Macaca fascicularis: one gene and its partner. The protein of the gene in region 2 purifies or fractionates together with the protein of the main gene of each other region. This does not show direct contact. Links are inferred from orthologs where the notes say so. Each region holds a gene or a part of one and is shown on either strand. Other genes may lie near its edges.

What was found. Proteins that work in one complex are often made in the same cells at the same time.
Region 1: the proteins of HDAC6 (region 2) and TUBA1B purify together in Homo sapiens (affinity purification with western blotting; 4 studies listed by BioGRID, with this or other methods). This does not show direct contact. The link is inferred for Macaca fascicularis from reciprocal best matches to the Homo sapiens genes HDAC6 and TUBA1B.

What each region holds. Positions count from the first base shown.
Region 1 is NC_088385.1:55,942,845-55,947,825, forward strand, and holds the start of TUBA1B (tubulin alpha-1B chain), read right to left. Parts: upstream 3,378-4,981; 5' UTR 3,283-3,377; coding exon 3,280-3,282; exon of another isoform or gene 2,859-3,279; intron 1,711-2,858; coding exon 1,488-1,710; intron 1,371-1,487; coding exon 1,222-1,370; intron 921-1,221; coding exon 1-920. UniProt on the Homo sapiens protein: Tubulin is the major constituent of microtubules, protein filaments consisting of alpha- and beta-tubulin heterodimers. Microtubules grow by the addition of GTP-tubulin dimers to the microtubule end, where a stabilizing cap forms.
Region 2 is NC_088395.1:48,977,402-48,981,844, reverse strand, and holds part of HDAC6 (protein deacetylase HDAC6), read right to left. Parts: intron 4,245-4,443; coding exon 4,111-4,244; intron 3,531-4,110; coding exon 3,462-3,530; intron 3,351-3,461; coding exon 3,158-3,350; intron 1,756-3,157; coding exon 1,606-1,755; intron 1-1,605.

The DNA.
Region 1 (4,981 bases), on a different chromosome or scaffold from region 2:
TAATCCTTCTCAAGGGCAGCCATGTCTTCACGGGCCTCTGAAAACTCGCCTTCCTCCATCCCCTCACCCACATACCAGTGAACAAAGGCACGCTTGGCATACATCAAGTCAAACTTGTGGTCCAGGCGAGCCCAGGCCTCAGCAATGGCTGTGGTGTTGCTCAGCATGCACACAGCTCTCTGAACCTTGGCCAGGTCTCCACCAGGCACCACAGTGGGAGGCTGGTAGTTGATGCCAACCTTGAAGCCAGTGGGGCACCAATCCACAAACTGGATGCTGCGCTTGGTCTTGATGGTGGCAATGGCAGCATTGACATCTTTGGGAACCACATCACCACGGTACAACAGGCAGCAAGCCATGTATTTACCATGGCGAGGGTCACATTTCACCATCTGGTTGGCTGGCTCAAAGCAAGCATTGGTGATCTCTGCTACAGAAAGCTGTTCATGGTAGGCTTTCTCAGCAGAGATGACAGGGGCGTATGTGGCCAGAGGGAAGTGGATGCGGGGGTAGGGCACCAGGTTGGTCTGGAATTCTGTCAGGTCAACATTCAGGGCTCCATCAAATCTCAGGGAAGCAGTGATGGAGGACACAATCTGGCTAATAAGGCGGTTAAGGTTAGTGTAGGTTGGGCGCTCAATATCAAGGTTTCTACGACAGATGTCATAGATGGCCTCATTGTCTACCATGAAGGCACAATCAGAGTGCTCCAGGGTGGTGTGGGTGGTGAGGATGGAGTTGTAGGGCTCAACTACAGCTGTGGAAACCTGGGGCGCTGGGTAAATGGAGAACTCCAGCTTGGACTTCTTGCCATAATCAACTGAGAGACGTTCCATGAGCAGGGAGGTGAACCCAGAACCAGTTCCCCCACCAAAGCTGTGGAAAACCAAGAAGCCCTGAAGACCGGTGCACTGGTCAGCCTGTAGGGAAATAAAAAAAATAATATTTTAATGCCAAGAAACATTCTCTTAGAATTTCTATTTAAAATTCTTAGATTATGAACCATCTCATTGACATAAGCATAAGGAAATGGGAAAACAAACATATCCACAAACTGTCCATAACCTAGGGGACTATCTGATTTAGAAGTCCAATGAACATAGTAAGCAGTCTATTCCACATTTTGGTAGGTGCTAAAGAATGAATGTTGTCAGTCACTCCACCCAACTTGCACTGGTACCATCTCGCCGCATTAAATGCATATTTATATATTGTGCTTACCAGCTTGCGAATTCGGTCCAACACAAGGTCAATGATCTCCTTGCCAATGGTGTAGTGCCCTCGGGCATAGTTATTGGCAGCATCTTCCTTGCCTGTGATGAGCTGCTCAGGGTGGAAGAGCTGGCGGTAGGTGCCAGTGCGAACTTCATCTGGGGGAGGAGGGAGAGAAGGATGGAGGGAGTGGGTGAGTGACCAGCGGAGCCCCCAGGACAGACCTCCTGTCCCAGCATCCTGGGATCTCACTTGGGTTACTGAAGTCAACTCACCAATGACCGTGGGTTCCAAGTCTACAAACACGGCCCGGGGCACATGCTTGCCAGCGCCCGTCTCACTGAAGAAGGTGTTGAAGGAATCATCTCCTCCCCCAATGGTCTTGTCACTTGGCATCTGACCATCGGGCTGGATGCCGTGTTCCAGGCAGTAGAGCTCCCAGCAGGCATTGCCAATCTGGACACCAGCCTGGCCAACGTGGATGGAGATGCACTCACGCTGTGGGAAGGAAAAAGATATCGCAATTTAATCTATTGGTGGCTGTCAGGTGGAACAAAATACTCATGCAATCTTTATTTTTTTAGAGATAAAGTCTGTCACCCAGGCTTGAGTGCAGTGATGCCGTCTAGGCTCAAGGCAGCCTAAACCTCCTGGGCTTGAGTCATCCCCCGACCCCAGCGTCTGGAGCAGCTGGGACCACAGGCACAGGCCACTACGCCTGGCTAATTTTTTCATCTTTTTTTGTGGAGATGAGGTCTGGCTGTGTTACCTAGGCTACTCACGTAATCTTAAAACAAATTTCCTTTTTTAAAGCGACGTAAGACGTACTACTCTTCTGAGAACAGCTTATCGTCTACATTGCTTTTAATGACTGTTACCTTCCCATCCTAAACTGGGAAGGCCTCCTTCCAGACCAATACAGCTCAGTCACAGCTTCCTCCTTTGGAGGACCAAGACAGGAAGGTAGGCATCCACCCAGCGCTCAGGCCCCAGAATACCACTTTAGACTAGGTGGCCACATTTCCGGGCAGCTCCTAGCACAGGAAGCACGTGGCCAGACCAGCGCACAAGAAATGTCGGTCCGCAGGGACATGGGGCGGGGCTCTGCGGCACAGGATGAATGCGCAATTCAGGGCGCGCGCTCTCGCGCCCCCCGGCGGCGCTGCAGAGGCACGAAATGGCCACGTCTGCAAAGGCGCTGCCCAGGCCGCCCATCCTCCCTTGCCCGCCGGCATCGGGCTGGGCCTAACACCTCCACAGCAGTCTGAGCGAAGTTGGGGATTATCGGCGGCCCAGATCTGGGTCAAGATCCGATTTCCGTTCCCTCAAAATCCCTCACTGCCACCACCTGCTCCCCTGAATTCCTAACGCAGCAGAGAGACAGGTGGCCTCTACAGACTGTTGTGGTCGAACTGTCCTAATTCACTGGTGTATAGCGGTACATTGACAGGGCCCTTCCCCACATTCCTCTTATTGCTTTCATTAAAAAAAGAAAACTCAGGTTAACAGGAGACACGCCCTGTAGCCCTAGTCTCGCCGCGACCCAGAGCGCATGCGCAGACTGCAGTGGCGGTTTCCCGCCCAGGAACGGCGTGAAGGTAACGGTCGCGCGTGCGCGCTTTTGTCTCCAGCTGCTTCCCACCCCCGCTTTTCGCGCTCAAGAGGAAGTGAAGGCTGGAAGATGTTAGAGTCCGCGCGCGCGCGCGTCCACCCAAAGCGGGGGAAGGGCATACGCTGGAAAGGACTGCGGGGACTCGAGGGACCGCTCCCAGTACAGAGTTACGCGCTGAAAGAGAGCTCCGGATACGGCAGAAGGCAGCCGGAGCCCCCTCATCCCTTCCAGAGTCCGATAAGAAATCCTGGCGCCCCTCGACCTTTCCGGGCCCCAGCTATTTACACACACCGAGGTCTCACCACTCCCGCCCTGGCCTCTCGCCTTGTTTTCCGCCCTCCAAAAGGACGGCTCTGGAACCAGACCTCCCCGGCTGTATACAGGGTCCCCGCGCCCCGCCAGCTCGCTTTTCCCTGCTTCCCTGAAAGCAGCCGGGAGCCGCGCGGCTCACTCACCATAGTGGCTAGGGATTAGGAGGCGAAGGCGGAAGGAGCAGACACCGGGTCCCGGTTACCGTCCCCGACAAGCTAAGAGTCGAGGTAAGTAACGCACTGGGGCGGGACCGGCGCTGGAGCCTCTTAAGTAGCGGCTTTGGAGAGGGGGCGGGCACAGGCGGTGTCGCGGCCGCGGGCCCCTCCTCCGGCCCAGTGCGCCCACTGGGCGCCCGGCCTGGCCGCCGCAGAGGCGGGCTCCGGGCCCCGAGCCCCCTCCCTTCGCGCGGCCGCGGGGCGGGGTCCTCCGCGCCTGCGGGCCGCGCGCGCCAGTGCTGCAGTGTGCGGCGCATGGCTGCGAGGGCCTGGCGAGGGGCGGGCGCGAGTCGGAAAGACACCGACCAGGGAATGGGTGACGAGGCTTGACTTAATTCGGAGGAAGCCTAGGACTTGAGAGAGCCATACAATTTGAAAGACGAAGCACCGTGAAATGCAGAAAGTTGTGGTTCGGATAGCTCAGCTGATTAATTTCGTGTTGCCACAGTTTGTCAGTGAGTTTTGCCTTTTTATTTTCGCAGTTCCTTTTAAGGCAGTGCATTCTGTACTTACCTGATAATGTGAAAAACGCGAGCTTTAGAAAACCGAATAGGTGTACATGGTTTACTTTAATGACTTGTTCTCCAAAGTAAGAGTACCAAATGCTGAAAGCAAGTAGATATTCAGTCATTCGAAGAGTGCCCAAGCATTTAACATTGAAGCTGTTAAAAGGGCAAAGTAGGCCCCAATTTTAGATCTAAGCCATCAATTTTATGAAACAGTTCTAGGGGCTTTTTGAAAAGGAGATTTAAAAACACATTTCAGTGGTGGTAGCTGAGTTGAAGAAGTGAGGAAAGAATTGGATAGGGAGGAAATAAATTGACACTGAAGGATGTTAGGAAGTAGAGATTCCTTGTGCAACTTAAGAGTTTTGTAAATAAGACTGCTTGGCCTTGTGTCAAGATACATCAATTGGTTATAGCTTAGTGCTTGGAGGCCCACATTATAGGAGTAGACTAGGTCTCCCTCCGCCCCGCCCCTGGAAAATCTATTTCAAGACGATAAACCACATTGCTAATCCTTGGAAATGCAGAAGGTGGTTAGGTTTAAAATGTGGCTTTAAAATGGTCCTAGCCGAAACGTATTGATGTTACTATTCAGAATATCTGCCCAGTATAGGAGGAACAAAAAGGTTAAACCTAAAACACTAAAAATTCATAGTTCATATTCAGTTATTAGCCTATTAAAATTTGGTGCAGCCTTCATCCTTCGCACCGAATTTCAGACAAATAGCAAATTTATGTGGTTAATAAGTGTATGTTGTAAGGAGTTATATATGTGTATGTCTATATATGTGTGTCTCCACCCATCTGAACCTGACCTGCAGACCAAGAGGTTCTTGTTTATTTCTGATAGTTTTGGTAGTCTTGTTAAAGGCATTTGATTCAAAATCCAAATTTGCACACATTTTTCCAACTGGGTAGAGGAGGCAGGAATATATTTGAATATTGTTCTCACTTATTTTGTTCCTCTTCTTATTCTTAAAAAAAAAAAAAAATTAAGCCTGTCAATTTTAGCAGTGAGGGATGGTATACTAATTTTAGTGACACTAATATTAATAAGTTCTGATAACCCACTATCTTCGGACCACCCCCACTCTTATTCTTAAAACGAATCTGAAAATCATAAG
Region 2 (4,443 bases):
TGACTTATTTTCCTCATCTGTAAAGTGGTGAAAATAACAGCACAGGCCAGGCATGGTGGCTCACCCCTATAATCCCAGCACTTTGGGAGGCCGAGGCGGGCAGATTACCTGAGGTTAGGAGTTTGAGACCAGCCTGGCCAACATGGTGAAACCCCATCTCTACTAAAAATACAAAAATTAGCCAGGCATGGTGGCATGTGCCTGTAGTCCCAGCTAGTCGGGAGGCTGAGGCATGAGAATTGCTTGAGCCCAGGAGATGGAGGCTGCAGTGAGCTGAGATTGTGCCATTGCTCTCCAGCCTGGGTGACAGAGCAAGACTTTGTCTCAAAAGGAAAAAAAAAGAGGCAGGTACGGTCGCTCATGCCTGTAATCCCAACACTTTGGGAGGCTGACACGGGTAGATCACAAGGTCAGGGGTTCAAGACCAGCCTGGCCAACATGGTGAAACCCCATCTCTACTAAAAATACAAAAAAATTAGCTGGGTGTGGTGGCAGGCACCTGTAATCCCAGCTACTTGGGAGGCTGAGGCAGAGAACTGCTTGAACCCAGTGAGCCGAGATTGCGCTACTGCACTCTAGCCTGGGCAACAGAGCAAGACAACGTCTCAAAAAAAACAAAAAACAAAAATGAAAAGAAAAGAAAAGAAAAGAGAATAAGAGCACAGAAGGTTGCTGAGCCGATTAATATCTGAACAATGCATAACAGTAACCAGGGGCCAGGCGCGGTGCCTCACGCCTGTAATTCCAGCACTCTGGGAGGCTGAGGTGGGTGGATTTCTTGAGGCCAGGAGCTCAAGACCAGCCTGGCAGACATGGTGAAACCCCATCTCTACTAAAACTACAAAAATTAGCCGAGCGTGGTGGCTGGTGCCTGTAATCCCAGTGATTCAGGAGGCTGAGGTAGGAGGATCACTTGAACCCAGGAGGTGGAGGCTGCAGTGAGCTGAGATCGTGCCATTGCAGTCCAGCCTGGGTGACAGAGTGAGACTCTGCCTCAAAAAAAAAAAAAAAAAAAAAAGAAAAACAAAAGAACAAAAAACCAGATCCAACAGATTCAGCATTTACCATATGCCAGATATTCCTCCATGATTAGCCTGCCTCATAAAAATGAGGAAACTGAGGCACAGGGCATAGGGATACTGGGCCATTTACAAAGGTCAGTGAATTTCCTTTGTCCCAGGAACTTGTTAGAGGCAGTTTAGGTAGAGTAAAAAGTACAAACCCTGGAGCCAGGCTGCATGGGTTCAAGTCCTGGTTCTGCCATCAGTAAATGTGCCATCTCAGGCTAGTCATCACACCTCTTTGTGCCTCAGTTTCCCTGACCTTGAGAGAGGAAAATGAGGTAAGCTGACCCTACCTCATAAGGCTGCCTTGCCAAGTAACTGAATGAATAAGACACATGAAGTGCTCAGAAGAGTGCTCTGTACATAGTGAGCACTCAATTAAGGCTGTTAATGTTGCTGTTATTCTTATTACTACCCAGTATGTGCCAACAATCCCAGGCAGGGACACTCAAAGGAGATTTCAGGAAACTGTCCTGAGTGATGGTGCCAACATTTCCAAACTACCCTCCCACTGTGGGAAGAGGGACCAAGAGAGAATTACCTCTAGAATAAGGATAATGCGGCCACTGGCAAGGCCCATCAGCAGGTGGGTGAGGTGGGCATAACCCTCAGGTGACACCTGGCAGCCCCCCAGCGGGTCCCCCCGTGCAGCATCAAAGCCAGCTGAGACCAGCACCAGTTCTGGGTTAAACTGAGGCAGGGAGAGAAGAGATGTATAAGCATGAGGGTGGGGGCTTTTGGTAGATAGTAAGTGATGGCGACCCAGAGACATGGAGAAAAGGACAAATGAAGACATGGAGATGCCAGTCAGAGAGATGGAGACACAGGATCTGCAGACTGGGAGATGCAGAAGCAGAGACTGAAAATGAAGAGGGGAAGAAAAGAAATACAGACTCAGAAGAAACAGATGCAGACTTAGAGACCTGGAGACAGTAGAAAGGGACAGATGGGGACATGAGACATAGTCATGAGACATGAGACAGACTCAGATGTCAAGAGAGTGACATGAAAAACAGAGAGACAGAGACATGTCCTTACACACACACACCCCAGGGTCAAATGTGGGACACACATACACAACATATAGGGTTTTATATACATAGTGTCAAAGAGAGGTGTTTGCACACTTCCATAACAGAAGATGGCAATGCAAGTGCCACACACAGAGAAGATAGTCACACAGAGCCACAAGTACTGCCACACACAGTCCCATATAGACCAGTACTACATATCTGCACTAGTCATGTACACACACACACACACACACACACACACACATAGTTTCTCAAAGAGGACAGTAACCCACAGCCACCCTGCAGAGTCACATACACATGCCATTACCACACAGCAACAATGGTGACATGCACTCTGGTGTGTCCACAAGAGCTGGTTACTTGCACATACAGTTGTACACATACAGAAGGCTGTCCTGGCCACCCGCGCACGTGCAGATCCAAAGATGCACATCAGCGCCCAGGGTGACAGAGTGGTGCTCACACCCCCGCCCTCCCTCCCAGAGTCAGCCATACGCAAGCCACTAGCCCCCCAGCTCACACAGAGGGAAGGCAGCTACCTCCCAGTCAGAGACACACACATAAATAGCCAGGGCAGACAGCCAGACAGTGACTGCTGTAACACACAGCCTTTCACATCCAGAGGGTCCCACACAGGCTGTCACAGAGATGGTTGCATTTAGTGACATACAATATCACACCCATCACACAGAGAAAAGGTGATGCCTGCACAGAGTCGCACACACACATACTCAAGCACTTGTGATGGCACACACACAACACAGATCCAGCCAGGACACGGGCCACTGCTGCATAGTCAGAAGGCCCTCACACACACAGCCAAGATAGTCACCCACATAGTGTCACACAGAGAAGGCAGTCATATAGTCACCTGTGCACAGGCAAATACACAAAGTGATCACAGTCACCAATTGCCCCGGTAGCCTCATTAATCACCCATGGGCTGTCTCATATCATCAGCCACCTGGCAGTCAGACGCACACATGCTGAGGAGGCAGGTCCAGGCTGCCACCTGCACAGGCATGTCACATACATCCTGCGATCTATCCTGAGCTGTACCTCGTAGGCAATGGGAAGCACCAGGCGATGCCAGGCAGCTAGGTAGTCAGCGTCACCCATGCGGGGCCCGTTCCATGCCACGTTGACGGTGAAGCCTGTGCCAGCAGCCCGGCCGATCTGGCTGCTGGCACCCTCATCCCCCATGGGGAAGAAGGTGCCATGATCATAGCGGTGCAGGGACACATATAGCACACTGCCGGGGAGGGGGTAGGAAGGGGGCCATGGCTGGTTAGGGGCTCCAGTACCCCTGAGGTGCTCACCCACCTCCCTGATCACACTGCGGCCCCTGATTGCAGCCCCTTACCTGGGGTCATCCTCAAACATGTGCTGAGTTCCATTACCATGGTGGACATCCCAATCCACAATCAGGATCCTGGGGAGAAGACAGCACCTCAGTAACCTAGGATACTCACCCCCTGGAAGAGGGCTGGGCCAGACCCCTGGGGTCTGTAGGGGCATTTAGTGCTGAGTGGCAGGACCCTAGTCCTATCAGTTAAGGAGAAAAGTCTGATCCTGGTTCCCGAGGGCTGCCCTGTAGGCCTGAGCAAGTGCTCGGGGCTGGGCCCTGGGCTCTTCTGGGTCATTGCTAGGGAACTGGACCCTGCGCCTTGGGCAGCTAATGCTGGGGACTGGTTCTTGGGTCTTCTGGAGTATGCATCAGGAGCCTGGACCTGGGTTCTGTCGAGGCAGCTGCTATAGGCCAGAAATGCTGGGGTGGGACCCTGAATCCTGTTTTATAAGCACCCAGGTAATATGATCTGGGGGTCCTATCTAAATAGGCACTGAGAGGCTCCATCCTCAGTCCTTCTCTGGGTAAGGGCTGTACCCTTACTTCTTTCTGGGGAAGTCCTGGGGAGCTGGACCATGGGGCATGATGAGTAAGCAATGGGCTGGGGAGAGCATCCAGGTCCCCACAAGGATCAGGATTTGGGGGGTCCCCAGGGAGTCCTTACCGCAGGGCACGCCCACTGATAGCCTGGGCATGGCGAGCAGCCACAGCCACGGAGTTGAAAAAGCAAAAACCGCAAGCTGCATCCTGCTCCGCGTGGTGTCCTGGGGGACGCACCACAGCAGCACCATTCAGAACCTAGGAAGCAGCAGGGTGCTAAGATCGGACAGCCTGCCCTCCAGCTCACCCTCACCTTCCTTTCTTCCTTCTTCTTTTTTTTTCTCGCTCTGTCGCCCAGGCTGGAGTGCAGTGGTGCTATCTAGGATCACTGCAAGCTCCGCCTCCCATGTTTACGTCATTCTCCTGCCTCAGTCTCCTGAGTAGCTGGGACTACAGG